2 linked regions of the Sus scrofa genome follow. The protein of the gene in region 2 binds, or shares a complex with, the protein of the main gene of each other region. Links are inferred from orthologs where the notes say so. Each region holds a gene or a part of one and is shown on either strand. Other genes may lie near its edges.

What was found.
Region 1: PIGH (region 2) and PIGY share a complex: the UniProt entries of both Homo sapiens proteins name them as parts of the glycosylphosphatidylinositol-N-acetylglucosaminyltransferase (GPI-GnT) complex. The link is inferred for Sus scrofa from reciprocal best matches to the Homo sapiens genes PIGH and PIGY.

Annotation. Positions count from the first base shown.
Region 1 is NC_010450.4:130,524,221-130,531,876, forward strand, and holds PIGY (phosphatidylinositol N-acetylglucosaminyltransferase subunit Y), read left to right. Parts: upstream 1-3,350; 5' UTR 3,351-3,422; coding exon of another isoform or gene 3,423-3,625; intron 3,626-4,723; coding exon of another isoform or gene 4,724-4,865; 5' UTR 4,866-4,954; coding exon 4,955-5,170; 3' UTR 5,171-5,763; downstream 5,764-7,656. UniProt on the Homo sapiens protein: Part of the glycosylphosphatidylinositol-N-acetylglucosaminyltransferase (GPI-GnT) complex that catalyzes the transfer of N-acetylglucosamine from UDP-N-acetylglucosamine to phosphatidylinositol and participates in the first step of GPI biosynthesis.
Region 2 is NC_010449.5:91,311,193-91,318,790, reverse strand, and holds the start of PIGH (phosphatidylinositol N-acetylglucosaminyltransferase subunit H), read left to right. Parts: upstream 1-2,442; 5' UTR 2,443-2,545; coding exon 2,546-2,725; intron 2,726-7,335; coding exon 7,336-7,545; intron 7,546-7,598. UniProt on the Homo sapiens protein: Part of the glycosylphosphatidylinositol-N-acetylglucosaminyltransferase (GPI-GnT) complex that catalyzes the transfer of N-acetylglucosamine from UDP-N-acetylglucosamine to phosphatidylinositol and participates in the first step of GPI biosynthesis.

The DNA.
Region 1 (7,656 bases), on a different chromosome or scaffold from region 2:
TCCCAAATTTGGTATTTATGGGACTTGATTTTTTTTTTTTTCTTTTTAGGGCTACACCCACAGCATATGGAGGTTCCCAGGTTAGGGGTGGAATCGGAGCTACAGCTGCCAGCCTACACCACAGCCACAGCCACACAGGATCCCAGCCATGTCTGTGACCTACACCACAGCTCACGGCAACACTGGATCCTTAATCCACTGAGCGAGGCCATGGATCAAACAGGCGTCCTCATGGATACTAGTTGGGTTTGCTACAGCTGAGCCATGACAGGAACTCCAAGGGATTTGATTATTATTAGTTTGTGGCTGCATCTGCAGCATGTGGAAGTTCCCCAGCCAGGGACTGAATCCCAGTTGCAGCTGTGGCAACCCTGGATCCTTTAACCCTCTGAGTCAGGCTGGGGATTGAACCTGCACCTCTGAAGCAACCCAAGCCCCTGCAGTTAGATTTTTAGCCCACTGCACCACAGCAGGAATGCCTATGGAACTCGCTTAAAATGTATATTCTAGCCTCTCCACTGCCTGGAGATTTCTAACTCACGTAATGGGTGTGATAACCTAAGAGTTATGTTTCAGTATTATCCACACTGGAAATTATCAAAATTCCACGTTCAGTTAAACTAAAGGTTCCCAGTGGTATACTGTGATTTCCTTTCTTATCAGAATTTTCTCCATCTTCAGCATAAGGAATTCCACCGATCTGCTGACATTCTTATAATGTGTACTCTGTACCAGCCCCCATGCTAGCTGCTTGACTTGTATGAATTGATTTAATCCCCTCAACGACCCTAATAAGGTAGGTAGTATGATGATACTATTTTACAGATGAGAAGATTGAGGCAAAGAGTTTTCAGAGGTCACACAGCTAATATGGTACCTAAGCCCAGAGCTCTGTGATGGGAAAGATCCGAGCCATGCCAATAGTAAAAAGGACCCATTTCACAATTTTATACAATTTATACAATTTTATACATTCAGCTCAGGATACTACCATGCAGAAATAAGTTGGATTCCTTAATTTCTGAGGGCTGTTGAGAAACATTTTTGCTTTGACATCTTGCAACTTCATATTTACATGGTTTCGGCTAATACTTCACACTCTCAGATGTTCCTTAAATACTGGATGTTGATTTGGGGTGTTATAAACTTGAGATATTGTCGATATTTTGCTAGTACTCTCCATTTCTCCCCAATACTAATATAAATTAAACTGATCTGCTTCCAACCTTCTTCGTGGATGCACACTGAAGCTATTTATAACTGGTTAGAAAACTCAGTTGATGAGGCTCTATCAGCCAGGTGAGGTGAGTTGAGACTAAAAAGCTTGTCTTAAGCATGGGTGCTTGCTCCTACCTTGGGGGCTGGGTTCCGGCCTGGCCCACCAGAGCTAGCCAAAGTCAAGCTCTGCATTGCAATACCTTGCTGAACCCTCTTTCCTATACCTCACTCCTTCCCTAGAGCCCAAGGTATCAACTAACTACACCTGAAAAATTAATTCCTACTATGGTCTAGTGGGAAATAACATAGGAACTTAACAACGGGACCTCTTGAGGCTACATCCCTGACAGCTGCCTCAGGCTGAAATCTTTTGCACATTAGTGAACAAAGAGCATCCAATGATGTAGTAGATTTTTTAAAGTAGAGTGAACAGACAACACAAATTGCCTCTGCTTTTGCACTGCTGAGTGGAAGAGAAATTTGGACATACAATCTTGTATGTGTATCTATATATCCCTCAACTCCTATCCCCACCTCCCAGGAGCTCAAAGTGTGAAGTGGTAAAGCCCCAACGATGCAAGAAAAGATTCAATATTTAGCGAGACAACGAGAAAATTTGGACGTTCCCCTCGTGGCTCAGCAGGTTACGAACTCAACTAGTATCTATAAGGATGCGGGTTTGATCCCTGACCTCGCTCAATGGGTTAAGATCTGGCTTTCCTGTGGCTCTGGTGTACGCTGGCAGCTGCAGCTCGTATTTGAGCTCTATCTAGCTTGGGAACTTTCATGTGCTGCAGGTGCGGCCCTAAAAGGACAAAAAAAGGGGGTGGATTTTGATGACTAACCAAGAATCTTCTAGTATACTGGGCTGCAAAGAATAGAGAAAATAAAAATGACAACATATGCCATTAACTGAGCATTCATTTGCCACAGGCATTTTTCTAAATACTCTTTGCATTCATTAGCACATTTTAAGCCCCAGGATGGAATTATATGAGGTAGGAACAATAATTAATCTAATTACACAGATAAGAAAGCTGGGGAGGGAGTTCCCGTCGTGGTGCAGTGGTTAACGAATCCGACTAGGAACCATGAGGTTGCGGGTTTGGTCCCTGCCCTTGCTCAGTGGGTCAAGGTTCCGGCGTTGCCGTGAGCTGTGGTGTAGGTTGCAGACGCGGCTCGGATCCCGCGTGGCTGTGGCTCTGGCGTAGGCCGGCGGCTACAGCTCCGATTCGACCTCTAGCCCGGGAACCTCCATATGCCGCGGGAGCGGCCCAAGAAATGGCAAAAAGACAAAAAAAAAAAAAAAAAAAAAAAAAAGAAAAAGAAAAGAAAGCTGGGGAGTTAGGAGATTTGCGGGAGCCCTACAACTAGTAAACGATGCACCTGGGACCAAGGTGTCAGGCCCGGACCCCCGGCACTTACCTCCTACACTATAAGAAAGAGATCAAATCCGCATCATTTTCTGGGAGAGTCAGAAGCAAATGCGGGGCGAGAAAAAAACCACTGTGTGGATCACCCACTTAATTAAAGGACACAGTTACTTAGACTCCTTGCGGTTTCCAAGCTCATTTACAGAAGCAAATGAGTGGTGCTATTATTATGCCATTGAGCCCAGGGTAAGAAACTGGGCATCTTAAGTTTAAGAGGACTAAGCCATTCTTTTCCCGTTCTTATATTTTTTTTAATGAAAGGAGAAAAAAAAAAAGCCAAACAAGGTTATAGGAAGTGTGGTACTGCAAAGACTGACAGATACACATAAAACAAGTAATGCTTTTTAACATACCCAGTGTGACAGTGTGTTGGAAACCTCCTTTTGGTGATAACCACGGAGGTCCAAGTCTATCACTGTGTGACTCTGAGGTCCGGCCACTGGCTTCCTGGAGGCCCTGCGACAGGCCCTGGTGAAAACTCAGGACGCCTCCACTTGAGCGTGGGTTTTGTCTGCAACCTGCAAACGGGCAGGAAGAGCCGCAGAAAGCCCAGGCTGCAGGCGGGGCTCTCCATACCGAGCGGTGCCGCGGGAAAAGCAGTCGGGTCCCGAGCGCCCTCGGAACCAAAGAGCGGGCCTCCAGCCGTCGGGGGCAGCGTTTCCCGAGCACCGGGGGGCGGGGCCTGGCCGCCTGGGCGGGACTCCCCGGGATCGGCTGGAGCGGCCGGAGCGGCCCAGGGGGTGCGGAGGTCCGCGCGCCGGCGGCCAGACCATGCTGAGCGGAGCGCGCGGTCGGCTCGCCTTAGCGCTGCGAGGGACACGCGCGCCGCCGTCCGCGGTCGCCAGGAGGTGCCTGCACGCTTCGGGCTCGCGGCCGTCCGCGGACGAGAACAAGAAGGAGGGGAAACCGCCACGCGCCTTCGACCCGGCGCTGCTGGAGTTCTTGGTGTGCCCGCTGTCCAAGAAGCCGCTCAGGTAAGATTCGTCCGCTGCGGCTTTTCCCTGGTGGCCCCCTGTCGCCGGGGAGACGTTCAGGTCACCCGGGTGTTCTTCGCTGCCATGTTTTGGACCCGGGCCCGCCAGCTTCCCGGGTACTCGCTCCGCCGCGGGAAGGGCGGGAGGAGGCCCCAGCCGAGCCCCAGGCCTCCCGGACCAAACCGGCCACTCGCAGGCCTGGATCCTGGCGGGCAGCTTCTCCGCCGGCAGCGTTTTAGAATCTCGGGGGAATCCTTCTTAAAACGCAGATCTCTAGGCAACGCCCCACCCGGGCTCAATCCGAAGGCCTTGGGGCCGAGCCAGAGCAACTGCGTATTTTCTTGAAAGGATCCCAAGTGATCTTCCTGTACAGCCAGGGTTATGAACTCGGGATTCGGAAGACTAATCCATGGCATTCAGATTTTTAAGGCAAGGCGATGAAAAATGTGATAGCTTCCAGATTGTTGCGAAAACGCCGGGTAGGATCTTAAGCGCATCAGCTACGTGTGCGGCCCTTTGGTTTTTAGTTCTCGACCAGCCGGTTCTGTAAAGGCCTTCTTAACCTTTCACCTAGACTCTTTAGGATAAACATCTCTGCAGTTGCAGGCTGCTAAACCTGAACGTGGACAATACTAGCAAACACCGCAGTGTCATCAGTGGCTGCCTTTGGGTGGTAGATTGCTGCTTCCGTGGTTTCCTTCTCATGGATCAGTGAGGCAGGTGTTCTGATAAGCGAAGAAGCTGAATTTTCCTCTCGTGTCTGTTCCAGTAGTAAATTAGCTGGGATCGTTTGAGGGTTTAAAAGAGTCATGAAGGAATATTTGGATGAAAAGGAGAGATCTTTTCTTTTTTTTTTTCCACTAAGGCATAGCTTAAGAATAACGTGAAAAAGAAAATGAGAGAAACAGACTAAAATGGGAACAATTAGAGATTCCTTTTCTAAGAGAAATGGTTGAATTGGCTACTGCTGCTTTTAGAATGAAAAACAGTCTAATTCTGCTTTTCTGGCTCTAACTGTGTGAAGAATTGGATAAATGTTACTGTTTATTGAACCTCAGACTCTTCCGGGATTCATTTTGGTTTTCTTCTGCCCCTCAGATATGAACCATCGACAAATGAATTGATTAATGAAGAGCTGGGAATAGCCTATCCGATTATTGACGGGATTCCTAATATGATACCACAGGCAGCTAGGATGACACATCAAAATAAGAAGCAAGAAGAAATGAAGCAGCACTAGGTCATACGTAAACACAACACAAGGAAATTTTCTAAACACCATCCACCTTCGAAGAAGCCAGCGTGGCGGGTGGTGGGTGGGAGAGAAGAATGTTTCTGTCTCTTCCCACGCTGACTGTCCTTGTCCCCCTGGTCTCTCTGGGAGGACTGCTGTACTCCGCCTCCGTGGAAGAGAGCTTCCCCCAGGGCTGCACCAGCACAGCCAGCCTGTGCTTCTACAGTCTGCTCCTGCCCATCACCATCCCCGTTTACGTGTTCTTCCACCTCTGGACTTGGATGGGTATTAAACTCTTCCGGCATAATTAACGCAGCCGGAGCCACGATGGTATTTAAACTCATGATATGCTTGAGTGAGTGTGTCCGAAAGCTCCGCCACATGGAAATACTGGAAACCCAGACTTTGCAGGAAAGAGGCTTTGCTTATTAGCCTTTGTCAGAGGTTTAGGACTATGTGACGTTTAAGCTGCAAGAGGCTTCTTTCTTGTATTTTGGTTCTTCCCCTGCTTTTTGAAGGTTCTGATTTATACCTGGTCTCTCGGAAGAAACATTTCAACAAAGTGGCTTGTTGGAAATTAGCACCCCCACAGCCATCATCTGATGGCTTGTTCTTATCCCATTCATAATTAAAAATTACTAATTCGAAATTGTAGGTTTGTTTTTAGGTTCAAAGCCTTTGGTAAAGCCACATGTGAAGGATGACTGAGATAATTCCAAGGAGCTATGGGGAGTAATTGTAGAGAAATGCATTTGGACTAGTGTGATATAAAACTATAATAAAATGTAAATTTCATGTACTTGCCAAAATTCTGAGTTGGTAAAATTGCCTTCATTTCTTTGGCATCAGATGGCTTACATTATTAATAAGATATTGACATTTTCCATAAAACAATTTGCAGTTTTGTGTTTGGTTTTTTTTTTTTTTTCCTTTTGGTCACAAGAATATAATTCAAAGACAAGGAAATTATATGTTTAGAGAGGCACCCAAAATAGAACAGAATTTCCCAGGAAAGTATGTGCTGTGAGGAGAGGTGGAATTGAAAGACTGGCAAATAGCTGATTGTGTCCTGTTGAGTTTAGTTAGGGCGATTATTGAGCCACATTTCAGTTTATTTTTCTGCCATAAGAGACCTATTTATTTAGCAATACTAAGGGCATGAGCATTTGACACATTAATAGTTATTGATTTTCCAGAATTTTCAATAAGACTGATTAGTACAATAACTGTTTCAGAAGTATAACAAATGTTTCAGTATTTACCCTCATGAAGCCTAAGAACTCAATGTAACCTTAACTGATTCTTAATAGAATTTTAAAGTAGTGTAAAAGAAGCTTTAGACAGTGATTCTTCCCCTTAAAAAGAAAATTTAAAACATGAGGTTAGGCATTCCCGTCGTCGTTGTTGTGGCTCAGTGGTTAATGAATCCAACTAGAAACTGGGGGGTTGTGGGTTTGATCTCTGGCCTCTCTCGGTGGGTTAAGGATCTGGTGTTGCGATGAGCTGTGGCGTAGGTCGCAGATGCAGAGCAGATCTGGCATTGCTCTGACTCTGGCTCTGGCTGGTGGCTACAGCTCCAATTAGACCCCTAGCCTGGGAAGTTACATAAGCCGCATGTGCGGCCCTAGAAAAAAATAAAGTATAAGGTTAGATGTGTTTTCTGTTGCATTAATTCAGTGTATACACTATAGTGCAAGTCACGTTTTAAAAATTACCCTGGGGGGTTCCCGTCGTGGTGCAGCGGAAACAAATCCAACTTGGAACCATGAGGTTGCAAGTTCGATCCCTGGCCTCGCTCAGTGGGTTAAGGATCAGGCGTTGGCGTGAGCTGTAGTGTAGGTCGCAGACAGGGCTCTGATCTGGCGCGGCTCTGGTGTAGGCTGGCAGCTGTAGCTCTGATTCAGCCCTTAGCCTGGGAACCTCCATGTGCCTTGGGTGCAGCCCTACAAAGAAAAAAAAAATTGCCCTGGGGAAAAATACAAATAATCAGGAGACAATAGAAGTACCTGTCATTTCCTGAAATGGTATTACTGTTCTTTTTAATTTGCCCTAAATATCTCTATAGTCAGTGTAAATGAAACCATTTTGCTGAAAGAACAAGCACCCTGTTCTGAAAAGTCAGTTTCAGCTTGCAAAAGTTAAGCATTTTAATCATTTTGGAGGAAACTGACTAGTGTCTCCCTGGGGGACCTCAGTGTTAACTCTATCCTTTCACTAGTAGAATTCCTCTAGCAATCACTCGTATAGTACAAGCTACATAAGGGATAGTTCTAATGAGCATATCACACACAAATATGAGGGGTTGGGTAGGAAGTATCGGCACCATTTTACAGGTAGGGAAACTAGAGCACAGAGATTAAGTGGTTTACCCAGAGTAACAATTAATACTTGAACTGAAGTTGAAACCACTTGGCGGTGTGACTTGCCTTCTCAGTCCCTGCAGAGCGAAGCTTTATTTTGAGCAAATTCATCTTTTCTATTTATGTGAAAAATGGAATGAGGAATCAAAATGCTTAGATTCAAATTCTGGCCCAAGCCTGACGCCCTTACTGTTTTCCTAAGTCCCGTATGTTTTTCGCTCTATTCTAGCACTTAACCTTGCACGTAAGTGCCTGTTTTTGATAGTAAATTGTTGGTTTTTAACCGAATGCTTAGCCCAGAGGCAGTAAGCACTTCCGAGAGGCAGAGGCAGTAAGCACTTCCGAGAGGCGTGAACGCATGGCTCCGACAAGCCTTCTAACTAGGCAAGTTCACATCTCGGCGCGTCATCCTCAGGCCCCCGAATCCTTCCCCGCTT
Region 2 (7,598 bases):
CTGGCGTCACAGATTTATTGCCCTTGGTGTGGGGACTTCTCCTAACATTTGGTGTCAGAAGTATTGTGAGTGTGGTAGCAGTGTGAAGGTAAAGGAGAAACACAGACCAAGCTTTTTCTAAAACAGTTTTGTATATGTAACATAATACCTAGAGCAACCACTAAAAAAGCTACATAAGGAAGCATATATTCACACTGTATAGATAAGCCAAAATAGAATTTTAAACAAGGTGAAACTGTAAGCTGCTTTTTGCAAGAAAGAGCTCTCTGCAGGAGACCCCTTTTATCTTGCCACTTTAACAAAGCTATATTTTAACTAGCTTCCAGCCCAAGCACACCTTTCAAATCTATTGATCACACATATTTTGTTCCTTAGATCAAAGAAAAAGAAATGACCAATAAGTCATTAACAGTTGGTCAGAATTTTTTTTTCTTTTTTGGGCCATACCTGCGGCATATGGAAGTTTCCAGGCTAGGGGCTGAATCAGAGCTGCAGTTGCTGGCCACAGCCACAGCCACAGCCACACCAGATCCGAGCCACATCTGTGACCTACGCCAGAGCTTGCGGCAACGCTAGATACTTAACCCACTGAGCGAGGCCAGGGATTGAACCCACATCCCCATGGATACTAGTCGGATTTGTAACTCGCTAAGTCACAACGGGAATGCCACAGATGGCCAGATCTCTTCCCCAGTTTCCCTTCAGTAATCTCACAAGCAAACTGCGTAAACAAGATAGCCTCTAAAGAAAGGTCAGAAGAAGTAGATGAGCCTGCACACAGTGGGAGATGTCGACGAATCGGACCGCCTACCTCAGTAATTAACTGAGATTACTTCCCTTTCTCCCTTGAAAACCTTCATGGCCAAACAGAATCTTGGGAGCTGGTCTTGTTATAGGGGTCCACTTTCTCCCCAGATTGCCAGCTTTTGATTAAAGCAATCTGTTTCTACCAGCACTTGCCTCTTGAGTATTGACTTTTTAGCAGCAAGCAGCAAGACTGGAATTTGTCAACAAAATGTGTTATATTTGTCTTTTTAATGTAAAATTTCTTTTTCTTTTTTTTTTTTTTTTGTCTTTTTGCCATTTCTTGGGCTACTCCTGCGGCATATGGAGGTTCCCAGGCTAGGGGTCGAATCGGAGCTGTAGCCACCAGCCCGTGCCAGAGTCACAGCAACTCAGGATCCGAGCAGCATCTGTGACCTACACCATAGCTCACGGCCATGCCACATCTTTAACGCACTGAGCAAGGCCAGGGATCGAATCCGAAACCTCATGGTCCCTAGTTGGATTAGTTAACCACTGATCCACAACGGGAACTCCAAATGTAAATATTTCTTGATCAATTTCACAAAAAACTGCAATAAGATTTACGAGTTCTTTTTGTTGGTTTTTTATTTTTTAATTAAAAAAATTTTTAGGGCTGCATCTGCAGTATATGGAAATTTCCAGGCTAGGAGTAGAATCAGAGATACAGCTGCAGCAACTTGGGATCCAAACTGCATCTGCAACCTATACCACAGCTCCCCGCAATGCTGGATCCTTAACTGACTGAACACGGCCAGGGATCGAACCCAGGTGTTCATGGATACTAGTCGGGTTCTTAACCCACTGGCCACAAAGGGAACTCCTTTGATGGCAGAAGGAAGGGATAATAATTAGACTCATCATCTTCCGCTCTTGCTAACCTCCCAGCCAGGATTTGTCTGCCTACTCAATGCTCCAGGCAGTGGTTTGGGAGAGAGGACACCTAGCCAGTGAGATCTAAACTCCTTACCAAGCCCTATACAAAATCCTCCTGGTTCTGACCGCTACCTACCTCCCAACAGCCGACTGCATTCCTTATGCGTCAGCCTCTCTGACCTTTTGATTCCTTCAATAAGCCGATCTTGTTCCAGCCTCGGGGGCTTTCTTTTTCCTGGTCCTCCTTCCTGGCAAATTTCTTCTCCAGACCTGCCTCAGACCAGTCTGGCACCTTATACTTGTAGCTCCAGTGTCTCATCTCAGAGGATGTCGTCTGTCCTCTTCAAAGTCCTCGAGTAGCCCTGCAGGTCCTATTATTGCCAAGAGCACTCTGAGATTATTTCCATATTGTTTCTCTTAATAGGAAGGAAACTACTAGAAAGCAGGGATTTTGTCAATACTGTTTACCGCTGTACCCCTTCAGCACCTAAAACTACCTTGCACCGGGATGAATGAATGAATGAATGAACAAATACCTGCGGGCTGTCTCCTTGGGCGTACTCTGGCTTAGAAATAGAAATCAGTTTGTTGGGCGAAAGCACATTAACAGCTGTTTTAATCTGCCCGCTGAGGCCTTGGCCCCCTTTGAATCTCTGGGGTAGATAATCTTCAAATCCCTCTGGGCCAGGGCGTGGAAAAACCTAAACCCGAAGAGCGTCCCTCCTGTCGGCGGCGGAACTGCGGCTGCGCGCAGCCGGGGGAGGGGCGTGGCCAACCCCGCTCGGGAAGCTCGCCCAGAGCCGGCGAGAGGACGCTGGAGGGCGCGCCAGACGCCGCGGCGTGGCCTGGTGGAGGCGAGCCGGCCATGGAGGACGAGCAGAGCTTCTCAGACATCTGCGGGGGCCGCCTGGCCCTGCAGCGGCGCTACTACTCCCCGTCCTGCCGGGAGTTCTGTCTCAGCTGCCCTCGGATCTCGTTCCGCTCGCTCACCGCAGTCACCTGCACCGTGTGGCTGGCGGCCTACGGACTCTTCACGCTTTGCGAGGTAAGGCCGGCCGGCCCCTTCCCGCGGGCCGGAGTCGGAGGCTCGGCTTTAGAAGGGTCTTGGGTTGAGCCCAGACCTCTCGCCGGACCCTCCTCCAGTCGCAGGGCTGGAGGGAGGGAACGGGAGGGTTCTGGGGACGCCATTCCGCTGCTGGACAGCTCTCCTCCTTAGGTTTAGTGACGTTTGTGCTCCTGTACTTTATCCCGCTCACGGGCCGCTGCTCTGCTCCCTGGTTCCACCCAGCATACAGATGGAGCTCGTCCTTGCACGACAGTCCAAAACATTAACTTCCCCGTGCTCTCTGTAGTCCACGCGCATGGTCATTCAGGTCCAAGAGTTCAAGAGAACTAAATGGATCGTCATCATCCATCACTTCCACTCCTCAGAGGAATCACTGCTAACAGTACCTTAAAGTCTTCTAGAAACTGCCTGTGCCGCCACAGTAATGTCTTTGCCTCCGTGTGTCTTTGCCTCCGCAGTTCACACAAGCAAGTTAAGAGTTTGATATAGTTCTTCCTAATCTCCTTTTCAAGGCAGCCTAACTCCTCCTCCTCCCGATCCCTTCCCCAAACTTAAATTGTGAAATTTTGGACATGGGTGGTTTCTATGCTCAGTTCTAGACTCATTCCCTTTTTCTGGGCCTCAATGTTCACGTCTCCAAAATGCAATTAATATCTGCCACGCCACTTTCACAGCATTGTGAGGGTCACATGTAGTGGCTTTGTGACAGCCCTCAAATAAAAGGAATCATCCTTATTGTTTTCTTCAGTAATTTAGTTTCGTATGTAGTGCCCTAAATTGAATGTATTATCCCAGGAGTGACCTAACTAGAGCTAAGTACAGCAAGGCTATTTATTTCTATAGTTTGGGTATTGTTTCCCATACTGCATCCATTAATTTGTACCAAATTGCATTGAAAAGCTTGTTTGTAAGTCACTCGAATTGGTTAAGTTGCCAGGACCGTCCTTCCCCTTCCGTAAAAAGATTTAATATATAATATAGCTGAACTTCAATACGAGCTTGAGCTCTGACCATGTAGTCATGTGAGGAAGAGGGAACAGGTATTTTTATTAAATGCCCACCAAGTGCCTGCTGCTTTACTAAATGCCTTGTTTCAACCTTAGAAGAAAATCAAGACTCAGAGTAATAACTTATCCGAAGTGATAAAGCTAGTAAATGGCATACCTGGGTTTCAAACCCAGGGCTGACTCTGAAACCATTTCTTCTCACTACACTATGATGTCTCCTCCTTGGGGAGGGCTTACTTAGGCAAAATTTTTAAATAGGGGAAGTTTGTTATTGTGCCAGCTCCCTTTTGTATGCATTTCTCCCATCCTGGTATATCCCACTTACCCCATCAAATGTCCAGGCTCCGTAACTTCAGCTTCCTTTAAACTCCACTGCAACACTTCTTAAGGGCCCTGTGCACCAAAATTTCTTTTCTTTCCTCCTATTCAAAACTATTAGAGTAATGAATCTCAGCTAGAATGAGAAGTCTGATGAAGAAATTCCTTAAAACATGTGGCTTAACTTCAACCCAAACGAATACTGAATTGTTAGAATTTCAGAAAGAAAAATGAAGTATAAAAAATTGTAGGTAGTGGAGTTCCCATCGTGGCGCAGTGGAAACAGATCCAACTAGGAATCATGAGGTTGCAGGTTCAGTCCCTGGCTCACTCAGTGGGTTAAGGATCTGATGTTGCCGTGAGCTGTGGTGTAGGTCGCAGATGAAGCTCAGATCTGGTGTTGCTGTGGCTGTGGTGTAGGCTGGCAGCTGTAGCTCCGATTAGACCCCTGGCCTGGGAACCTCCATATGCCGCGGATGCAGCCCTAAAGTGCAAAAAAAAAAAAAATGTAGGTAGTAATGAAGTTTGGGGCAAGGATTACTTTCTAGAAATGCTAATATGGGTCAAATCCCCTAAGTATATCATGTTCTTCATCCCTTCTTTCCTCCCAGTTTTTGAACTCACAGTTCTGTTGGAATTCTAAGTCTTTATTTATTCCTAGAATATCGACCTCCTTCCTTTTCTCAGCTAAGTATATCTGTCAATAACCACTACCTCCTCTGTACCAGCTAAATCCTGCTTCCTTGGACGTCTTCATGGGATCTTCCTGTGTGCTTAAGTCTCTTTCTTGCTTTCGCTCTCTCTCTTTTAATCCAGTCTTAGGCACTTCTAAAAGTATCACTTCTAGTGAATAGTATCACAGTATCCTCCAAAAGTATTTTTTATATATTGATCTTGCCTCTAATAAATCTCTAAGGGCCAGAACCGAATTTTATCATTCTCCACTCTTCCTAATACTTAACTCAGTTCACACTGTGTACAAGACACTACTGTACTAGATGCTAGACTCAGTTAACTAAAAGTGTTTCTGGATCATCAGAGACCCAGCACAAAGATTTCTCCATCTTCCATTTGTTAATCCACAAATGATTATCTAGCACAGAGGTCAGCAAAGTTTTTCTTTAAAAGTCCAAATAGTAAATATTTTAGGCTTTACAGGTCTCTGTCTCATATTCTTCTGTTTCTTTTTCTCTTTTTCTTTCTTTTTATCAACCCCTTAAAAAATGTAAAAAACAGAGTTCCCTGCGTGACTCAGTGTTTAATGAATCCGACTAGGAACCATGAGGTTGCGGGTTCGATCCCTGGCCTCGCTCAGTGGGTTAAGGATCTGGCGTTGCCGTGAGCTGTGGTGTAGGTGGCAGATGTGGCTTGGATCCCGCGTTGCTATGGCTCTGGAGTAGACTGGCGGCTACAGCTCCAATTCAACCCCTAGCCTAGGAACTTCCATATGCCACGGGTGCAGCCCTGGAAAAAGACAAAAAATGTAAAAAACATTCTTAGCTGAAGGTGGACCAGACAAAAACAGATCACAGGTCCAAACAGTTTGCAGACCTCTGATCTGACACTTAACTATGTGTTAACGTAGAAAGAAGTAGAAAGTTACTTTCAAGGAAAACCAGAGCTGGTCAGTAGCTAAAGGGGTAAAAACAGATTTTATTCAGAAACAACTGTAATTGGAGAAAAGAGACCTCAGTATCAAATTGGGCTCCATCCTGAATATAGCAGGGGTCAGTGGGAATTTATAGTCAAGGAGCAGGGTTGGGGGTTCGTGGGTGGAAAATTACTCAAAGAAAACCTCAGGGGCAAAGGGGGCTTCTGGCTAAGCTGATTTGACAGCATTTTTGCTAAAGGCAGTCCAAGGTGATCAGATTCCAAGGTGATCAGATACCAGGGGTGAGAAATTCTCTAAACTCACTTGGCAAGATTCTTGCTACAGCTTGTTGGACCATGCAGGCCCAACAAGTATGGACACCAAGGTCCGATGCTTAGGAGAGCCCGACTAGAGGTAGGTCAGAGAGGGTGTCTTGTCAATAATAAAGTTTTTTTTTGTGTTTGTTTGTTTGTTTTGTCTTTTTGCCATTTCTTGGGCTGCTCCCACAGCATATGGAGGTTCCCAGGCTAGGGGTGGAATCGGAGCTGTAGCTGCTGGCCTACACCAGAGCCACAGCAACGCAGGATCCCAGCCATGTCTGTGACCTACACCACAGCTCATGGCAACGCTGGATCCTTAACCCTACTGAGCAAGGCCAGGGATCGAACCCGCAACTTCATGGTTCCTAGTCGGATTCGTTAACCACTGCTCCTCGCCACGACGGGAACTCTGTCAATAATAAAGTTTAATGAAACACTTCCTGCCCTCTCTTTTGATTCAAGGTCATCATTTCCCCCCGCCCCCCGTGCCATCCTTCTAAATAAGACATTTTTGGAAAAAAAAGAGAAAACAGTGCCACATGAAAGAAACATACCCCAATAGAAACTTTCTACTTAAGAAATGTTAAAAAAGTTTGTAAATGTGTCTTAGACTCAAAGAAAGAAATACCTTTTTGGGCGCCCTTAACACATCAGTTAGTCATTTCACCTGGTCAGTCAGCCACAACCCAAAACAACTAAACTAGCCCTAGATGGTAAGACCTGTATTATTTAACAAAACAAAAAGTCAGGGCTCTGAAGGCATGAGAGACTCAGATGATTTTGTGTTTTCATCGTACTGCTCTTTCACCCTTGATGTCCTCAGCCTAGCTTTCCACACGGTTTGGCAGAGGCCAGGTAGTTCCAGGCACCAAAACCTCAGGATGAAGGGGCCTTCTCTTCTTAGATGTCTTTTGGAGATGGCCTTGGAAGGAGGAGTAGCTGTTGAGCATTATCTGCTACACTGTGCTAAGCATTTTATTATTATTCAGTTGGTGATTTTGCTGTCTGTTTTACCGATGGAGCATGGGAAGCAAAGATCAGAGTCCTTAAGTTACAATTCTGGAAGGAAACTCTCTGGAGAGCGGTGTGATGGTGGGTATTTTGCTGACGGAGGTTCTTTTCCCTAGACCTCTCCATTTGTCAGCTGCGTGTATTTCATCACATGCTTTTATAGCACTACAGAGACCAAATAAAAGCCATTTCCTCTTCCTCCTTGCATGTTCCTCCTATCTGTTCAACTCAGGATAGGACGAAGGCTTTTTCCCACCGCCTAAAGTTGACTTATTAAACCGCAGAGATTTATGGGGAGGACCACTGGGTAATCTTACCGCCCGTGTCTGGCTCTCTCTTCAGAACAGCATGATCCTCTCTGCTGCCATCTTCATCACCCTCTTAGGCCTGCTCGGGTACCTCCATTTTGTGAAGATTGATCAGGAGACTCTGTTAATCATTGATTCCCTTGGCATCCAGATGACCTCATCCTATGCCTCAGGCAAAGAAAGCACCACCTTCATTGAGATGGGCAAGGTGAAGGATGTGGTCATTAATGAGGCTATTTACATGGTAAGTATTTAAGCAGTAACTTTTTTTTAAGGGCCTCAGCTGTGGCATGTGGA